Linked DNA regions of Schizosaccharomyces pombe. Each later gene encodes a partner of the first gene's protein in a complex. Each region holds a gene or a part of one and is shown on either strand. Other genes may lie near its edges.

Region 1 (5,206 bases):
CAACTAGATAAAACAATAATGTTAGAACATAATTTGCAAAGGAACGACAAGTTGATTGAGCTTACACTTCAGCTTTTCCTCTTTATTGCCATGCACTGAAAATACAGAAAGGCTATTAATAAATTCTTGAAAGTCCACATCTCCTCCACCGTCTTCGTCTACAACTGAAAACAGTCTGGAAGCAAGTGGGTTAGAAGCTACACTGGGAATCGACAAAAATTCGTTTCGGTCAATAGAGCCAGATTGGTTAGCATCTATTTTAATAAAACGCTTGCGAATTCTTTCTATCTCCTCATTGGAAACTAGATACAATGAACGTTAGCCGAGTCGCTTTGAGGTGCTAATACTTTTGCATTGTGCATGTGAAACCGGCAACTTTGATGAATTGGCTATAATCTTAAAAAGAAATAGACGACAAGAGATGTAAGTATTCTAACATGAAAAAATATAATGATAAGAACACTTTTGGCCACACGTACTAAGCATCAAACTTACAGGATGAATTTGAGATCAAGTCCTCAAAGATTTGCGACTGCGACTGACCCATGAGAGGGAAACACAATAATATGAAATGAGTAAGGTTCAATTAACAAACCAAGAATATAACGGTCAGCTACCTTTCAAAGAAAATTCCTTATATCGGTGGTGGTAGTTTGAGTCAAAATCCTTCTGAATGTAAGGGTCGAATGTCACTTGGCACACTTTGTCTTCCACCAATCTCAAAGATAATCGTGGAATCCGTAAATTTCAAAAAATGACTTGAAAACATGTTGGGTTGTGCAAAAAAATAGCTATGAAAATTATCTGTAAGCTTGTAATTGAAAATTCAACTGCAATGGCAGCTTTTCATTTTTAGAAAGGATGCATCAAACGAAAATCCGGCTTAAAAACGACAAAGAATTGAGGTTTAGAGCAATTCATAATTGCTTTGGAGATGGCTGTTTCTGCATCTTGGATTTTTAAAGGCGAGGTTTTGTAATTTTTCAAAACTAAATACCTTTAACCTTTATTCTTTCTGATGACCAAATTTTTTTTAAACTGCTTTAGCAGTTTTATGCTGATTAAGCTTTACCATATGAGCTTAAGATTATGAAGGAAGCAAAATCTGAGAATGAGCAATTTTTCGACATGTTTGGTAAGTATTTGAAAGGACTTTCGAATATTTGAAAGATTGCAATTCATGTTTTTAAATCAAATTTTAATCTTCCTGAAAAGGGCTTGGTTTCTGGAAAAAGCAAATGTGGAACGTTGAAAATGTTTGTCTACAACTTGCTTCGTTTTGAAAAAGACATTCATTTTTCTCACCCTATACTATGCGCAGTTGGCATAGATAATTGATGAGATACGGAAAACATCTTCGTTAGTGGAAAAAAATGTAGAATTTATTCCGCTGTTTACTTCTATGTTCCACCTGGCTCTGCTGCGAACAGTTTATTATTCTAACAGAAATGCCTATTCATGGTCTATAACACGCATTGAAAGTAAAAATCAAGTGCTTTTTTCTGCTACTAGAGACTACGAATACTAGCAGATCATGACTTTTCTTTTGAATTAGTAATGCTTTTTTTCTATTGAGTATTGACGAGGGTTTTCCGACGTCAATAAGATGAACTATGATAGAACTTGATTCCTTATAATTCACTATGGAGTTTTATGGACTTCACTTCAACTGATGGTTGACAATTTCCTCTTTTGTTTCTCCTGCCATCGGTTTCTTCCATTGTTTACACCTGGAATCTCCAGTAAATATCGCTACAATACGTTGTATATTAACGGTACGAGCGTATTAGAAAATTATTTTTGGTTACGTTGCTCCTCGGTAAATTATCGCAGTGAAGAGGTTTATGAAAAATTTCATTCGGTTTGTTAACCCCTAGTGGTTTGACACACCAACGACGACGGCCGTCAACTACGCCAGGATTTAGCGCCTGTTTCTACAAGATTTTGAGTGAGACGAGTATCTTATAATTTTACGGTTGGATAGATTTAAGTGATTGGAGTCCAACGATACCAATATTATCATGAGTTCCGTCTCCAAAAATGCTAGGGCATATCGTCAACGGAAGGTCGGTATTAAAACCGTTATGCCGATTTATTTCGAACGTGATATACCTGACTTTGATGAAGAAGCTTCACTTCAGCGGACAGTTCCCTTGGTGGAATCTGGTGTTGAAAAAGAAGAGGAAGAGGTAAGTGCGAACCCGAGAATGTGAAAGATAATGAAAAGTACGAAAAACCTTGGCTTCTTGATGGATTTCGTTGACAAAAATAAACACTCTTTTTAAAGGTGCTTAATCACCGTTTTACAATGTATACGAAGGGTTATGCGGAAAATTATGATTTGAGCGGAGTTGCATCGAATTTCTGAATTTTTTAAACTTGCTAGTTTGTTTGTGTTAAAGTTACTCTTGTAAAGATTAGTAAACTGAGAATTAAAAGTTACTTGAAAAATATTGATGCTCCTTCTTTCACGAATTTTGAGGTTTTTTTTTTTTTTTCAACGGATTCATTGAACCTTTTTAGTTTTTATTCTAAATTTGATTTTACTGAGAAAAGATTGCTACTTCATTATTGTGGCTAATGAATGTTTTGGGTTATGTTTCTAGCAATGCTTATTTATTTGATTATTTATTGTTTTTGGAATACAGCTGTCCTTTTTCTTATCGCTTTTCATTCATCTTCGATTACTTAGATTTCTAACAATTTATAGGAAAAACATTTGCAACAAGTCATCAATGAAGCCCATGAGGCCATTGTGCGTGGATCTGAAAAAAAGCTTATTATCCCTACACGGGAGGCTAAAAATATAGGTATAATTGACAAATATTACAAAAAGAATTTCATTCTTCCTAAGACATTAATTCGGTTTTCTCTCACTGTGGAAGAATGTACAAACCCAGAATATTGCATGGATGAACATGATACGGAATATTTTCTGAAGTTGAAACAGGCTCAACCTTCTCTTTCCAAATTTTCTGAATTAGATTTTGAAATTGTCATGCAGACGTTTGAAGAGGAAATTAATCAAAATCAGCCTTTTTTGAGCATGGATACCTCTCAAATATTGCCTTTGTCTGAGCTCATCACCTCCTTCGAGTTAAAAGATGTACTGTACTTGAAACCACTAGCTAGTCAAGTATACCCTTATTGGCGTGAGCGTCGTATCAGTAAGGGTGGTCTTCCAATTATGGCTAAAGCACAAGTTGGCGATGATAAGGATGATGATGATCCATATGTTTGTTTTCGTCGTCGTGAAATTCGACAGGCTCGCAAAACTCGTCGGTCGGACGCTCAGTCTTATGATCGCTTACGGAGGTTACGACAAAGCATGGAGACAAGTCTTCAGTTACTGGAACAAGTGTACAAACGTGAGCAAAAGAAGCTGCAAGCGCTTGAAGACGACTATGCTATTTTCCAGAAGCGCTGTCTTGTCAAAAAGCTTAAACGTACTCTAAATATAAAAGACAGTGATGAACTTTTAATCAATCCTAAACGACGTCCTATTGAGGTAAAGCCCGCCGCCCCTGTACCTACTCCAGCTCCACCTGTAAAAACTTCTCCTCACCCTGCTTCCTATCGCCCACAACCTACGCGAAATGTCGAAGTTCGACCGTTATTAATGCTTGATGATGTTCAATCAGCCCAAATTACACAATTTCAGATTCGTCTTCAGCAACGTCTTACCAAGAAGGAACAGCTCGATCGTAATTGGGTTGACCTTTTGGAGACGCCTAGTACCGTTATTCATACTAATTATCCCGATTCGTTTTACCGAAACATTATTCCATATTATTCAGGAAAAGAAACGAAACAATCCCATAATCAACTGAGTATTCCTTCCTCAACCCCTTCGACTCCATTATCTGATAATGGACCCACCTACTCTACACCTCACTCTTCCCTATCTAATTTTAATACGTGCGATTCACTTTCATTCTCTTCAAATAACTCTTTATACGGCTATAGCACTTTATTACATCCCAGAAATCCCATCTGCGTTCGACAACGAATAGGACGTGGAGGGCGTTTGATGTTGGATCGCACTCGTGCATTGCCAGTACATCGGTTGAGTAAACCAAAATCTCGTGTTGAAGATCGATGGCTTTTTGACATTCCCTTTGATGCCGATGACACAATTATACTCGATGATGAATCTGATGCTTCTATAATGTTTCGAGCTAGCTTGCTAAACGATGATATGGGTACTCAGTCATAAAACGCTTTTTATCTATGGTATTTATAATATTTCCATTACTAAAGATTTCGATCAAATTTTATTTTAACTATTTCTCCTCGACTAGCTTATTTAAGATTTTGATTGATTTCTTGAAGGGATTTGGGGTATAATCTATTTTTCTCTTTAGAAAAATAGTGTTTATTCATTTTTATGATTTTTGTTTGTCCAAATAAAAAATTTAATAGGGGGAATTGACTTGAAAGCATAGTCAGCTTTTTTTTTGGCTCACAAGATTTGATTTTGCTTCTACAGTCCAACCCTGGTTTTATGCATGCATAGATTCTTTATCGTCGCTAATTTATTTGATACTGTACTAGTTGAATCGGTGAATTGTTACAAAATTTTTGGTGATCCCGCTTTTTTAGACTTGCATGTGGTTAATGACTTTTTTAATGACATTCAATTCATTGTTCAGCTTTTTTAATTTAGCATATAATAAATATACGATGTACGAAGTTTATGTCTTAACGACTTATCGAATTCGTATTCAAATTGAATACATTTTTAGCTTTTTAAGTAGTTTTGGAAAAATTTCAGACTAAGTCATTGCGTTGGGTTGTTGATTATATATTTATTGGTTTCTTTCCTTTTTGTTCTATAACCATTTACTTTAGTTCTCTGAGCTTATTTTTTAGAAAATCATCCACTAACTATATGTCTCTCTCATTGCTACAAGATACAATAGCAAATATGAAGAAGAGTCATATCGAATTTATAATGCTCACTCTTAGTTTCCATAGTATGTGTTAATAAGGCGTACTTCTAGCAATTATGATTGCAGTAGGAGATTTAGAAATTATCGACTTAATTGAATATCAATAACCTTTATCTTTTTATTGTTGTTACTTTCAATTATAAAAAACTTGAAACAACTTTTTTAACTGAACTGACAAATTTTAGGTTCATCATAACGACTTTGGGGATTCAATTAAAGTCATTAAGTATATGAATGATTAATAGATTTACTGT
Region 2 (4,083 bases), on another chromosome or scaffold:
TAATTCAACACCGGTTGAACCCGGTGAAGATACCATTCCAACGGCTATTGTTGTGAAAAATATTCCTTTCTCGTTGGAGAAAGATACATTGTTGGATCATTTTAAGCAACTAGGTATTCCCAGACCTTATGCCTTTAATTATCACTATGACAATGGAATATTTCGAGGATTGGCTTTTGCTAATTTTTATCGTCCTGAAGAGGCTCAAGTTGTTGTGCAAACGCTTAATGGCTATGAAATTAATGGCAGACGTCTTCGTGTTGAATGGAAACGCCAATTACCAGCTGCAGAACGCGAGAAGGTGGAAAAAGCAAAGAAACGTCAAGCTGAAGAAAGACGTCGTAAACAGCAGTACAAGATGTTTGAAGTTAGCTTTACTGATCAAGGCTTAAATTTGAATGACACTGGTACCCTTGAAACTTATAGTAGACTTCTATTGTTTGCTCATCAATGCATTCCTTCTCGTGAAATAACATTTGAAACCACTTCTAAGGACGGAAACCTTCTAAATGCCATTAGAATCTTTTGCCTGTACTTTGATCTCGATTACTATGCTCGCCCGAATGGAGAGGTGTTAAAATTAGTAGTTACTCATCCGAATAAAAAGAATACGAGCGTAAGTCAGTCGCAACCTGCATCTCCAAATTTAAGATTTAATATGCCGGCACCGTTAGCTACTCGATTTTTGCAAGAGCATTCATTGAATGGTACTAAGAGTGCCCCTATAACCCCACCTCCCAGTTTCGCAGTACCATTGACAAACCAACTTCGTTCGATTGACGACAAAATTTATGGAAATGAATCACCGCTTCAAAAGGCTTCTACTTTGAGTTCACCTTTCAATTCAAAAAATGATAATGATGCTTCTACCTCCGCTTCCAAGCAGAGTTTTGGTGTCTCCCACTTTTAGAGTCTATGCAATTATAAAGAAACTGTTTATGTACCTTTTAAGATATGATTTTTGTTTACGCCAACTATAGATGCATTTACTATACGCTATTTGTTTTGACTAAATTTTGCTCTTTATCCCTTTATCACTTACTTCTGATGAATCTAAACTCTATGGGCTTCATTTTGTTGATTTTTTGTTTTCCCTTTCACATAGTTGGTTATCCAGCAAATAATCCTTTTAAATACTTAGAAGCTTATATTTTATCGTTTTGAATTCCCACGACACATTTGGACGACTCGACTTAACAGCAATCAATGATGGATATATGTTGGGTGAGGCATAATGTTTTATGACGATAATCAACGGATGAGCGATGCTCCTATTTTTTTACAAATTATAACGATTTTTCTTGTATAAGAAATTTATGCCCTACCGTATAATATACACATACTTTACATGATTAAATTTAACCTTGGACAAATACATTAGTCTGATATTACAAAATTGAACTTTTATTTTTGTAAATTTAATCATCTTCTTTATGTGGATGTGAATGTTCCTAGCTTAGTATTACCGTACTATGGATATAGAAATAAACCTACGATTTAAAGTCTATTTTCTACCAAGCTTGTAGGGCTTTAAATGAGCTACTTTAAAATTACCTAAAATATCGTTAAATTTTCCTATATAATGCGAATTGATTTATATGTAAAAAAGAAAAAGAAATTGCAAGCATGGTGGACTTTTAGTTCCATTGTTAGTAAGTTGTAATTAAAGGAAGTTACAAAGGATTCACTAAAATAAGAATACTTTATGGGTTATCGCAGCCTTACTCAATTACTGCACTTGAATGTCTATTGAATTTAAGAATGAAGAAAGGATAACACAAAGATGCACGATTCTTTTTGGATGAACTTTTATTTTTTGTTAAGGTTATGAAAAAAGATGAAATACACTTGACCTTGTAATTACTGCAGCTAGAAAAAGAAAATATTATAAAAACCAGTTTCATGAGTTATGGCTGGAAGTACCGCACAACACCATAAATATTGATAATCTGCTATATTGCCGATAATATAAAGTTAAATTAGTAGAAAAAGTAAACTAAGAAACAGAAATTTTCTTATTTTACCCATATAAACCTATGTATTAGAGGATAGCAATTGTATTTATGAGTTCGAGGGGAACAAGATCATCAACTGCTGCCGAGCAGAAAAGGCAGGAGGATGTAAATAAAGAATCAAATATGAATGATTCTGTTACTGAATGGTCTGTTTTAGAGGAAACCTTACTGTTAAAAGCTATTTGTCGTGGATTGCGCCCTGTAGGTAAGTGTTCGAAAGGTTAATTGCTCGGTCTCTTATTTTAAAAGCTGCATGTTATCAAATTATTGCATTCATTCACTAATTAAAAAATAGGAATAGAAAAAAATTTTTATATGATAGGGATTTTACGAGAAATTCGTGATGGCTGCAAAAGATCAACAATTAAGGCTCAGGACGTTTGGAATAAATTAGGAACACTTTATAATTTGAAAGAGTTTGAAGAATTGGTATGTCAAAAAGCCTTTTAATTTTTTGTTTTCAAGTATTTGTTGACAGTTTTTTAAATTAGGAAGCTCCAGGAAATGAAGAAGTTAAGGCGAAAGAAAAACGAATAAAGTCGCCAGATGTTAAAGATTTTAAATTACCAAAAGATATTCTTAAAGTAAAAGAAAAATCCGAGAAACCATTGGAAACATCTCAAAAAGTGGAGATTGAAACGGTAGAAACTAAACCCGGTGAACCCGAAGTTAAGCAGGAGACGAATTTACAGAAAGAGAAGAAGGAAAGTAAAGTCAAGCTTGAATCTAAAGAAGAGAAAATTTCTCGGAATTTACGATCCTCTTCTAGAAGTATTTCTCCTGTTACTGAACAGCCGCAAAGTCCAAAGATTCAGCCTGTTATTCCCGAAAAAAAAGAAAAGTCTGAAAAGAAAGAGAGTTCCATGACTTTGCGAAAAAGATCCGTCTCGCCATCTTCTCAAAATACAGCCCGTTCTCCAAAGCGTATGGCTACTGAGCCCATAGAGCCTGCTTCTTCACCGGCAGCTTCAAACCAAGCTATTCGCCGTAGCTCTCGAAGCCGGAGGCCTCCGACCTAGCTCTTGTTAACAGAAAAACCTAGGATGGGAAAGACTGATTATTTGTACATATCATTTATGCTTGGTCTACTCTAATGAACGGTTATTTATATATGAGACCAAAATTAATTATCACAAGGGATTTATAAAAAGTGAAAAATAAAAAGAATTATGATTTTACTACAACTAATATTTTGTATGTCAAGGAGATTTGTTTTAGCAGAATTATAGGTTTAATGGGATCGACGGCATGTCCAAAACTAATTTGCTTTTGCAGTTTTACTCCTTTTTGATGCTCGATTCACGTAATGGGAAAAGACGAACGGCTTTGTTACAAACAAATTTACTCTGATTTACCGCTACGATTTTTGAATCCCGTCACTTCTTTACTGTTCGTTACGATGTTTTATGTAGCTATATATACTGTTTGATAGCTTGACTTGCTAAAAAAAATCTTCTAACTGTGAGTTTTCAATTTTAATTCGATAGGTCCATATGTTAATGTCGATTTGGTTGGAAATATGTTTTAAAGTATGTTTAACACGCATAGACAGAGAGATTCCAATAGGTAGTATACATATTACTTTCAAATTGATGAGCAAATTGTTTTCAAAACCTTACACAGGTAACGATTTGATCAATGAATTTTTCAATTCCGGTGAAACGGACTTGAGTATTCACATGAGTTAATGTATTATTTATCGGCACATCAGACCATTGCCTAGCAGAGTCTGCCGAATTTAACAACTTTTAAAACACAATAGATCTATAAGTACAGCTCTCTAATAGCAAAGCAAAACTGAGCAACCCGTCATTGCGAAACCTTTAAAAGACATCAAAAATACACAAACGCGCTTGCATTCAGGTACATAAACATGCAGCGGGATCTACTTCATAGAGTTTCGTAGATTCCCTTACTTGAAAGGTTAATATCGTACATAATTTTCATACTGTGAGGCAAAAATCTCATTAATATTTAGTATTCAACAACATAAAAACAATTTTAGCAATTAAACTTGAAACCGTTTAATAAACAATGGAAGTACACTAACAAAGATAATCCTAGTGTC
Region 3 (4,549 bases), on another chromosome or scaffold:
ATGTTTATTGAAAGTTTAGCTGGTAAAGCTGGCGCCTGCCATGGCTTGGCTCAAGACAGCACACCCTTTATCTATTCTGAGCAGCAAACTGCTGCTGACTACTTTGGCGAACAATTGGTTAAGGCTGGTTACAACTATCATGGAAACGAGCCTATGTATAGTGGTATCACAGGACAGGAGATGAAGGCTGATATTTATATTGGAGTTGTCTACTATCAACGTCTTCGCCATATGGTTAGTGATAAATTTCAAGTACGTACAACCGGACCCATTCATAATCTTACTCGTCAACCCGTCAAAGGTCGCAAACGTGCTGGTGGTATTCGTTTCGGTGAAATGGAACGTGATGCTGTTATCGGTCATGGCACATCGTTCTTGATGCAGGATCGTTTAATGAATTGTTCTGATTATGCCCAGAGCTGGGTTTGTCGAGATTGTGGGTCTATTATTTCTATCATGTCTACAATTTCGATGAATGGCGTAGGAAGTGCCTCAGAAGTCAGGTGCAGAAGCTGTGCCAAACCCGCTTTGGGATTGGAAGATACCAGTGACATTTGGCAGGATGGTAGCGGAAAGAAATTTGTCGGCGGCACAAATACTACGTTGATCGCATTACCCAGTGTTTTCAATTACTTGACGGCGGAACTTACTGCTATGAATATTAAAATGATGCTTGAAGTTAAATAGATTAAAGTGTTGAAAAGAGTATTGAAATTAATATATTCGCTTTCAACTTCTTTAAAAAAAATTTTTTTAAAAGGACTGACAAAATGCCATGGGTGATGTGTGTATTTTCAGTTCCATTTGATTCTGTTTTCTTTCGCAACAGGTTTCTGATTTTTGCTTCGGATTACGTTTTGCATATAAAATTACTTATTGTTTTGGGGGAAGAGTTAATAAAAAAACTTATATAGAAAACTATAAAGGTAGGTCTAGGTGGACTAATAATAAATTGATTGATTTTTATCTTTTTGATTAAGAAGCGGCTAAGACATAATTGACAAGAAAAAGTTTATTATTAGATGTCTTTTTGCTTTAAATTGTATTATATATTGGTTAATAGATACTTGATACCAAAGAGTGATCGAATGTTCAAAGAAGCAGATTAATCAGAGGTTGAGATCTGATGCAAATTCGTGAGCACACATTCGTATGGAGAAAAGAGAATTGATATCTTATAATTTTAAGAACAGCTCAACTACAGAAAATCTATGCACTCAATTATAAAAAATACCTATTCGCATGGTTCACATTTAAGAGCAGCATAATGACGAATTACAGAAACCCACGCTAAATTGTATTTTGTGCTTCATTATACTATATTAGATAACCGATATTTAGTATAGTGTGTAAGCTACGCAGTTTGGTATCTGATTTAAGGATACGTAGAACTGCGGTGAGTTTTCCTTGTGATCTATTATATTACAATACACAGGTTGTATGAGTAGCAACTGAGTATAGGTATTGTATTAACTGGGTTATAATGTTACCTATCACTAATATAGCTCATAACTGAACTGAGGAACGAGGTTCGGCTGTAACGCTATTTCGGCAACCGATATTAATAGACTTCATATAACAATAAATATACATTGTTAGTTAACATACTGCATACCGCTATATTGTAAGTCGTAAGAGAAACTCACCGTAATTCTATGTATCGTTAAATATATACCAAACTGCGTAGCTGACTATAGCAAAAAACTCAAAAAATCACTAAATGAATTTGTTTATTAGGAGCATAATAATTATCTTTTCAACTATTGTGGATTTCTTGTACAATTGTTTTTTTTTGTGCTATGAGCCCAATCTTTCATATGAATGCTTATTTTTGAAAACCTAGTTTACTTGACGCGTCTATTAAAAGCTTGAAAATTAGCGACATTCTCGTTGCATGAATGCTTAAAGAATGCACACTTTTCTAAATGAAAGTCTTATTTTTAATTAATTAAACCAACTAAATAAAATAGGAAAGAGTGATGGGTATTTTTAAGAAAAGCCGTTGGCGACCTATTTCATGATCTCAACGATGCGTCTTGTCCAAGTGCCAACGACAACTTTTGCCTGAGAATCTTATCACGTAGACAAACTGTACTGCTGGTAAGATGACTAGCGCATTTTATGGCGGAGATGAAGTTTCAGCTATTGTAATTGATCCTGGAAGCAAATGGACTCGAATAGGTTTTTCTGGAGAAGATATTCCCAAATGCGTACTCCCTAGCTACTGTGGAGAGTTCAGTGATGGCAGACGGTTGTTCGGTGAGGAATACATATATAAATCAAACCCTGGAATGGAAATAAAAAATGCAATTCGTAATGGTTGGGTTGAAAATTGGGATGTTACTGTAGATCTCTGGCGTTATGGATTAGAGCAGCAGTTGAAGACTAATCCTTTAGAGCATCCAATCTTGATTACGGAACCATTTGATAATCCCCCAGAAAATCGAGTGAAAACACTAGAAACGATGTTTGAATCTTTGCGTTGTCCTGCAACATACCTCGCCAAGCAGGAGACGTGTGCGGCGTTTGCAAGCGGGAAAGGTACTGCTTGTTTAGTAGACATTGGTGCGGAGCGTAGCTCGGTGTCTGCTATATATGATGGTTTTGTGCTTCAAAAAGGCTATCAGGTTCAACATTTTTCTGGGAATGCAATTAACGATATTTTGGCGCAAACTCTCAGGGATAAGAATTTCGAAGTGATGCCTAAGTACTTAGTGAAAAGCAAAAATCCAGTGGAGATAGGGCAGCCAGCTAATTGTGAGTTACGTCCTCGTGATACTACAGATTCTTATCATCAATTTCAGGTCCAGCGAGTCTACGATGAATGGAAAGAAGAATGTGCTCTCATTTCCGATGTTCCATTTTCATCTGAAACCACGATTGCTGAATCAGAGTTCGAATTTCCAGACGGTTCCCGTATGATGTTTGGCGCGGAACGCTATCAAATTCCTGAACATTTGTTTGTGCCAGGAAGTGATGAAGAAATGAACGAGGAACCTTCGAAGCCAATAGAACAAACCGAAAATAATGAGGTATCACAACAAGATTCTTCGGTTACCAACACTTCTTCTCGCATTTTGGGGATACCTCAGTTGTTCCAGAACTGTATTTCGGAATGCGATGTTGATATCCGTGCTTCTTTGCTCAACAATGTTATTGTTTGTGGAGGCACTAGTTTGATGCAAGGATTCTCTCTTCGTCTGCAAAATGAACTTTCAAAATTATATCCTGGCAGCCGTCTTAAAATCCATGCTTCCGGTCATGTTGTTGAACGCAGTTATGCTTCATGGTTAGGTGGATCTATTTTAAGTAGTCTTGGAACGTTTCATCAATTATGGATATCACGTCAAGAATATGAAGAACATGGTTCTGATCGTTTGGCTTTAATCGAAAAACGATGTAAATAATACGTGTAATGATAATTACTAATCTCTAATGAACCTTTAATTAAAAGTCGTTGGATTTTAGGGAATTTTCCTTAAGTGGAAAAAAAGGGGAAACTTTCGTTTGAAATAAAAAATAATTGAGATATTATTACTTTACGTATGAGACTCTTTCCCTGTCCTTATACCTATCATTTGAAGAGAAAATATTGGATCATGTATTTTGCTATCATCAATAAGCATCAAAAGTTTTGTTTTTGTAACAGATTGTTACTCTGGACTGGTTCGTTGGCTCTTTGTGATATTCATGCTATTGAATTTGTGTAATCTTCCGCAGATTATACATAAAGCGGATTTTTTTGAGTACGGCCAATACATCGATTGGATTTTATGTTGTAAGCAGAAAAGAAAGTCTTACTGACAAAATCATTTTAAGCTACATTAAAGCTCAATTATTTGAAGCTAAATATGCCTTGCCATTTTTTGGATATGAGTGATAGGTTTTAAATTGTACCCCTTTAGATTCTAATTTCTCATCAATGTGATTGTTTTATTCCCTTAAAGCCCTGTCCGATGAAGCAAGCACATCGTACTGTGTTCTGAATATTACGTGAGAATTGTAATCATTGAATGATATCCTTTCTTTTATTTTGAAATGAAACTTTATCTGGTTTCTATAATTTTAGTAGCAATGATTTGTAAGTTGATAATTTGAAGCTTCGTTAAATCATCTCTTCATTCCATGTGTGACGATGTGAGGAACTCGGTTTAATGATACCTTTAGGGCTCATTCAATCCTTTGAATTAGTATACATTACTTTATGAAACTGAGGTAATCCAAGTAAGTATACGCTTCATTTTAAATCTGTGTGAATGTTTAAATAATAAATTCTTAAAAATTCGCATAGTAGGTTCAACTAATAATTTTGTTATAAAAGATCCATGTTTTATTTACAGTAAAATTTCTACTAAGGAATGCATCATTATGGTCTTATGAAAGACATGTCATTTTCCAACGACTTGTCATCCACAACCATTCAATATAGCTTTAAACAACTATCGAGTGTCGTTGTTAATTATACTAATCCGTTTCTTTTAAACTAAACATAATTAGGAAAATCTGTTTAAGCATATCGTGATAGTTAGTGCTTCTAATCACTATGGAG
Region 4 (6,463 bases), 1.2 Mb from region 1:
GACTTTGATGATAAAATGTGTAGGCGTTTCGAAAAAATAACAAACCTAATACAATCTCACTATCCGTCGAAGGTCGAATACCTAAAAGACATATGTTTGAAACTTGCCCAATCACTAGCAACGATATCGGTACCTTGATAGTTGAATTACATCCAAATTGAAATATCAGAGCGGCTTCCAAATCAATTTCATCACAGTTTAATGCGAAATAGCCTTCGGATAAGTAGGCACCAGCATTATCCATCACACTGTAAGCCAATTCGGCAGGCAAATAAATATAAGTTTCACGAGTTTGAAAGTATGCATCAGTGATGATAGAATAATTAGAAAAGAACGTAGAGTTTAAGAACTGCACAGAGTAAATGGAAACGGCGTAATGCGTAAGCTTAGTCTGCTTCAAAGCGACAAACTGTCCCTGGTACTTTGACGTATCCACGGCTCCCAAAAGTAAACTTCCATTACCCTGATTATCCAGATACATACTAAAAGCAGGGTATGCCAATATATCCTCTTTAACTAGTTGTTCCAAAAAGGTTGGTGGTGAAAAACTTGAAATGGAATCCGAATAATCTATTGAATTAATTTCGGTACTGGCAGCTAAACCTAGCACGCCTTTGTACGGCAGCATTGAACTGGGAACATACTCCTTTAATGTGATGCCGAATTGGAAGTCCGGTAAAGCTTGATAATGACTGTAAGAAAGGGAGTCCTGAACATTAATTCCAGCAACTGTAATGTTATCGTCATAGCGGATAAAAAAAGTGCTTGGACTCGTAACAAAATGGAAGCTAGAAGATGCATTCCCAAAATAACAAGAATCACTTTCTTTTTTACAAAGAAAGTATCGCAGTTCATCCGTACTCCACTGAGTACCACTATTCACTATGCCAAGATACGCTGGATTAAACGCCATTACATTGTAGTAAGTCAACCATGTGTACGGCATGTCCAAATCTATAGCTACAGTGTACGAAATACTCGGACGACCGATCGAAAGGGTAGTAGTGTAGTAAGTGTAACTCTGCAAATCTAAAGGAAATGAAGTGATACCAGATGGAGAATAAGTATAGTCACGCTTCTCTAATTGATTTTCCTGGTTGGGAAAAGTTTTCGCAACGAAGTCCAAAGCTAAAACACCATTTCCCGTATATTGTAACGAAGAGACAAGTTTAATGAAGGAGAAAAATATTAAAATCCAAATCCTCATAATCCTTAAATAATTAGAAGAAAATATAGATGCAAGAATGTTTACATAGAGGTAAATTAAAATGACCAAGGTGATTATCAGATAAAAAGAGAAATAAAGAATAAGAATAAAGTAATATGAGAAGAAGAAATAAGAATATGCAAAACGGAACTAAAACAAAAATGCAAAGTAGAATAAAGAGCAGGTGCCGAGTTCTTTTGATGAAAGAATGTTTTAACGAAAGCAACGATGAATTGTTATTATCCCTTGTTATGTTGGGAGCAACAATTTGGCAATCTTGCTTTATAAAGAAAAGAAAATCCACAACAGAAAGTGGAAATAATCCTCAAGGGATGAGCAATAGATGCATGTAAAAACCAAATGCAACGCAAAAATCTAGAAAAACTTGATCATAAATAAGAGTCTTTCACAATTCCTAGCACGTCGTAAAATAATAAATACAAATTGAAAATAAGGGAGAAATAGATCACTTAACGATAGTTTTTTTAGAATGATATGATAGTAGGTTTGGCATGTAGCTCAACTGAATGTATTTTTGAATAATTTAAGTTGAAAGGGAAACGTTTTTAAAGCTTTGAAATATGCCGATAACCTTTATGGTAACGTCTCAACTTTTAAATAGAACAAGCGATTTCTCCGAGCAACAAAAAGACGAAAATAAAAGACAGTCTTATTGCTGTACTTGTAGTTCAAAACTGTGTCCTAGTAGAGTGCTATTTCCTTGTTTTTCTACTTCACCTAATATGGTGGTTGATTGCGGGCTCAAATCCCTTGGGGGGCCTCAACACCATCAGACTAACTTCGTTCACATTAGGTCTGAAAGTATACAGGATCCTTGAGTTCTTTATATCATCATACAATAAATATAAAAGCAAAACTGTGTCTTTTCTAGAATACGATTTGTATGCTTTTTCCAGCGTAATTCCGCTTAAATTGGGATTATGAAACAGGTACGTTTTTACGAGTCTTACGGGCCTTAAAGTGATAATTTTATTGTACTTCGATAACTAATTAATATTTTTAATTAAAAAGAAGGAGACCAAAACCAGTCAAATTGCTTTAGTCGATGGTGAAAAATTATCGATAACAGATTCTTTTGCCTCCCTTTTTACTCTAGACGAAGAAGAAGAAAACGACTCTGTAGACAATGAAGAGATTAAGTTAACAAAAGAGAAACATGAAAAGTTACTTCTTTTATTTTGGTTGCATTGCAAGTTTCCTAATGGATTAGAATGGCTTCATTCATCAAGTGATCTTTTACCAGAGCAAGTTTCTGAGTGGTTTAACTTTTATCAAAAGTATCGTTTTAAAAGGTATGTCTCATTGAGTAACTTTTTGTATTTTCCTCAAATGTACAACTAACATGCAAGGGGGCGAAATTTTAATCTTTCAGCTAGAGAATCTGTAACTCCTATCGTTGAAGAACCGATAGTTCCCGAAGAACCCGATAATTTGGAAGGAGTTTCAGAGGAGACACCTTTAAAAGAAACTTCCCTAGAACTTAGCGAGGAGGAAATTATAACGTCAAAATCTCCCATACCTTCACCTGAAACTATACATAAAAATATTGACGTAGAAGAGAAAGAAACTATTGAACCAACAACACCCGTAAAAGAAGTGGAAACCACTGCTCATGCTGAAGAGGAAAAAGGCCCTTTGACGCCAGATAGCGAGTATGCTGCTCGACAGCTTACCGAAGAACTTGCAAACAAATCCTCTCAAGAAGAAGGAGTCGATAAGCAATTAAGAGTGGTTGAAGCTACCGAAAAGGAACATGAGGAAGATGGGAATGAAGAAAATGTGACCGTTACCAAACCGGTAGAGGTTGCGACTGATCAAGTTGAGTCTAAAGAAGTGAAAAAGAAAGAGGTATCAGAGACAACGGAACCTACGGCTCCCCCTGTCACTGTTGCAGAAGTTTTGGAAATTGAAGATAAAGTCCCAAAGGTTGATGAAGTTGAAGAAGTTCATTCTCCTGAAGCCAAGGTCACTGAAAATGATGTTGAGAATGTACAATCAGGTATTGATATTGAAAAAACTATACAATTATTAAATAATCAAGAGATTCCTTCGGAACAACAAATCATTTCCGTTGACAAGGCCACTGAATCTCCTGTTCAGGAAGTAGCGGTTGATGTCAACGAGAAGCCAGTAGATGAAATTGTTGAGCCTAGTAAATTACAAATGGAAAATAAGTTACCATCGGAAAAATCCCCTACAATTGACAGAACTGGGGTTGAAGCTCCGCTTTTTGAACTTTCTGTATCTATGCCACTAACTTTAATTCCTCCTTCAAAATTTTCTGAACCGGTGAAACCAGAGCTTTCCTCAGAAGCATGGCTGCTTCGAACAGAAATGTCGCCTTTACATTTAAGGTTGAAAAATGCACATAAATATGTTCTATCAGATAACTGGTCTCATGCGTATCGCGAGGAAATTGTACGACAATCACTACATCATTTAACGGTTGCAAAAGAAAAAGGTATTTGGTCCTTTAGACAGCCCAAAAGACAAAACGAGATGCCACGATTGAAAACTCATCGGGATTATGTTTTGGATGAGATGCAATGGATGTCAATTGATTTTTCTCAAGAGCGTAAATGGAAAATTATATTGGCTCATAGAATGGCGAATTGGGTAATGGATTACCATCAAGCTAGTGATAAATGTACTGTTTGTACTCCGGCTTCGTTGTCAAAGAATAAGAAGCCGTACATGCAAGAGAATGAACATCAGAAAGACTCTCACGAGGAAACGTTTAATGAACAAATAGTGAGCCATTTTAATCTAAATGATAATAATAACAACAAAGTGCTCTCTATTCCCAGGGATTCTTTACAGTTTTATAATGCTGTTTTTTCGGATGATATATTTGTGACAACAAACTCCGAACAAATTCAGAACTGCGTTTTAAACGTTCCTATGTACGGTCCTCCTACTGAAAACAATGAATATTGTGAAGAAATATCTGAAAAGTACCCGATCACTCCTGTGTCACGTTTTGCATATGCCAAAACAAAGCTTAAATCCACCTGTGCAAAGGCTTCTAGGAAACGTTTGTTCAACCAATTGGAATTATCACCACCTGAGTCGTTTATGGAAAAGAAGGCGAGAAGCGATGAGAACCAGCTAGATGGAAATAAAATTAAGGATGATAATCAGAAGCTATCCTCAGTAGGAACCTTTAGTGTGCGGCCTCCGTATCCGCCTTCTAGTAAAGATATTCGTCCAGAAGCCCCTTGGTTGCCCGAAGAAGATGAACTCCTTTTATTACTCTTGCGACGATATTCCTTTAATTGGGAATTTGTTGCCAGTAGGTTAACACCACCAGGTTTGTACATACCGCTTGCCGAGAAGCGGACTGCGTGGGATTGTTTTGAAAGATGGATTCAAGTGGATCCCAGAGCCGCCAATGTCCAATTGACTGGCTCCCATGCAAGACTCGCTCAGCAGAAATTAGATGAATCCTTAAGACATTCGGATAAAGTTAGCCAACATCTATCCTTACGGGATGAAGGAACACCTAACCATTTGATTAAACATAATTCTTACTTCTTATTGCCAACTGTATCAAGACATTACCGACCCATTACTATATTTGAAGCTATACGAAAGATCCTTAAAAAGAGAGAGTTTGCTAAAAAACCCACTATGACCAAGAGAGCGATTGCACCATCTGCAGCTTCAACTGAAAAATTGCCGCCGGTTCCTTCCCCTCTCGAACTTTCTCGTTTGAAATCTGAGCGTGAGGCACAAATACAGCAAATACAGGCTCAGAGAAACTTTGCACAATTGCAATCACAAAACAGGGCTCTACGGCCGCAAAACGCCGCTGTTGCTGCTGGTGCACAACAACACAACCAGCAACTAGCAGCCTTTCAAGCTGTAGCTGCTTCACAAAATAGTAGTAACAATTCATCAGCGGGTGTCTCGCCTATAGCTGGTAGAATGGTCCCCAGGCTTCAGCCATACGCTGTTTCCAGTTCTTTAAAACTAACACCTGAACAAATTCATCAGTTGCAGCAAAGGAAGCAAACTGTACCTACTACTGAAAGGACACAGTAAGTATCGCCTCAATGCAATTTTTCGATTTATTGTATTTTTTTTGAGTGCTGTTGTATATTAGAAGGAAATTACGAGGCGAGAGCTTTTTCTCTCACACAATAAAAATAGAATACGTTTTCATTTTCGTATCCCGGTTGTTGGTTTTTTAACAGAATCAAGCAAATCGAGGTAATACGAAGTGTACATGATAAGTGAAGTTTGATTTCATAAACGTTATTTTAGCTAATGAATATGTTTTAATTTTTGAAAGACAGACACCATTCTCGGTAGACAAAAACTCCATGTGATGGGCCTTGTAGAAGCGGGCGACAGTGTCATATAACCTCGTCGTGGGACTTTGTTTAGCTTCTTAGCAGTCTTTGCATTCGTCCGAGTGTTCTGTCCATTAACGGGTAACCTGAAATATTCATTAGTTAAGTTGAAAAAGTTGTCGAAGACAGCTACGTTCACAAATGATCTTTTCATACCCGTTTACATGTCTCATTCCCCGATAGCATCGGATATTCACCAATCTTGAGATATCAGCATTCCGTTGACGCCGTAAGTCACCTTCAATAGTCATTCCTGATAGCAGTTGCGACAACGTTGTCAATTGAACATTTGTCAGCTCTCGAACCCTTAACGTATTGTGAAATGATAATTTTGCGCATATTTCTTCAGCCTTGGCATGTCCAATTCCATAAAAAGAAAGTAGAGCAAACCGCACAGGTTTATCGTCGTTTACAGCCACTCCAAGTATGTATACCATGATGCAAAATCTCAGATATCAACAGATGAGACAGAAACCAGCTCAATAATGAAGTGGACAATTTGGTTTTGTAATTCAGTTCTCTATCAGTAATCAGAGAGCTTAAAACCGTTCTGAATATAAGTATTAGGCTTTCTTGTAAAAGAGTGGAGTGGTGGTGTTTAGATATAATACACAGTTGGATCTCTCATATTTTTAGAAAACTAGTTAGATTGTACAGACTCCGGGCCTAGTAATAAAAGACAATTTGAGTAATCATTAAAGAGCTACTATCTAAGGTGTAATTTGATGTTTAAGAAGACCATAAATAGGGCAAGGTAAGACGAAGAAAAACAAATAAAGAAGAGATATCGTCAAAGGCCTTCCTTTTCTGTTCAAATTTTAAAATTTATGAACTCAAATGATCCCTTCGTTCAATGGTCTCAGTTTAAAATTTATTATTG

Evidence for each region.
Region 2: epl1 (region 1) and eaf7 share a complex: the UniProt entries of both Schizosaccharomyces pombe proteins name them as parts of the nuA4 histone acetyltransferase complex.
Region 3: epl1 (region 1) and alp5 share a complex: the UniProt entries of both Schizosaccharomyces pombe proteins name them as parts of the nuA4 histone acetyltransferase complex.
Region 4: epl1 (region 1) and vid21 share a complex: the UniProt entries of both Schizosaccharomyces pombe proteins name them as parts of the nuA4 histone acetyltransferase complex.

What each region holds. Positions count from the first base shown.
Region 1 is NC_003421.2:2,187,545-2,192,750, reverse strand, and holds epl1 (NuA4 histone acetyltransferase core complex-Piccolo HAT module linker protein Epl1), read left to right. Parts: upstream 1-1,875; 5' UTR 1,876-2,021; coding exon 2,022-2,189; exon of another isoform or gene 2,190-2,396; intron 2,397-2,710; coding exon 2,711-4,216; 3' UTR 4,217-4,668; downstream 4,669-5,206. Other genes in the region: cnb1 (calcineurin regulatory subunit B), read right to left, coding at 1-3, 66-302, 496-547. UniProt on the Schizosaccharomyces pombe protein: Component of the NuA4 histone acetyltransferase complex which is involved in transcriptional activation of selected genes principally by acetylation of nucleosomal histone H4 and H2A. The NuA4 complex is also involved in DNA repair.
Region 2 is NC_003423.3:4,259,300-4,263,382, reverse strand, and holds eaf7 (NuA4 histone acetyltransferase complex subunit Eaf7), read left to right. Parts: upstream 1-1,921; 5' UTR 1,922-2,063; coding exon 2,064-2,220; exon of another isoform or gene 2,221-2,310; coding exon 2,311-2,444; exon of another isoform or gene 2,445-2,506; coding exon 2,507-3,034; 3' UTR 3,035-3,571; downstream 3,572-4,083. Other genes in the region: RNA-binding protein Cip1, read left to right, coding at 1-910. UniProt on the Schizosaccharomyces pombe protein: Component of the NuA4 histone acetyltransferase complex which is involved in transcriptional activation of selected genes principally by acetylation of nucleosomal histone H4 and H2A. The NuA4 complex is also involved in DNA repair.
Region 3 is NC_003423.3:2,010,957-2,015,505, forward strand, and holds alp5 (Ino80, NuA4 and Swr1 complex actin-like protein Arp4), read left to right. Parts: upstream 1-2,042; 5' UTR 2,043-2,105; coding exon 2,106-3,407; 3' UTR 3,408-4,049; downstream 4,050-4,549. Other genes in the region: DNA-directed RNA polymerase I complex subunit Rpa2, read left to right, coding at 1-687; GINS complex subunit Psf1, read left to right, coding at 4,544-4,549. UniProt on the Schizosaccharomyces pombe protein: Chromatin interaction component of the NuA4 histone acetyltransferase complex which is involved in transcriptional activation of selected genes principally by acetylation of nucleosomal histone H4 and H2A. The NuA4 complex is also involved in DNA repair.
Region 4 is NC_003421.2:978,972-985,434, forward strand, and holds vid21 (NuA4 histone acetyltransferase complex scaffold subunit Vid21/Eaf1), read left to right. Parts: upstream 1-1,999; 5' UTR 2,000-2,148; coding exon 2,149-2,157; intron 2,158-2,174; exon of another isoform or gene 2,175-2,239; coding exon 2,240-2,520; exon of another isoform or gene 2,521-2,577; coding exon 2,578-5,272; 3' UTR 5,273-5,494; coding exon of another isoform or gene 5,495-5,669; 3' UTR 5,670-5,739; downstream 5,740-6,463. Other genes in the region: yapsin Yps1, read right to left, coding at 1-1,207; sws2 (mitochondrial 37S ribosomal protein uS13m), read right to left, coding at 5,495-5,669, 5,740-6,020. UniProt on the Schizosaccharomyces pombe protein: Component of the NuA4 histone acetyltransferase complex which is involved in transcriptional activation of selected genes principally by acetylation of nucleosomal histone H4 and H2A. The NuA4 complex is also involved in DNA repair.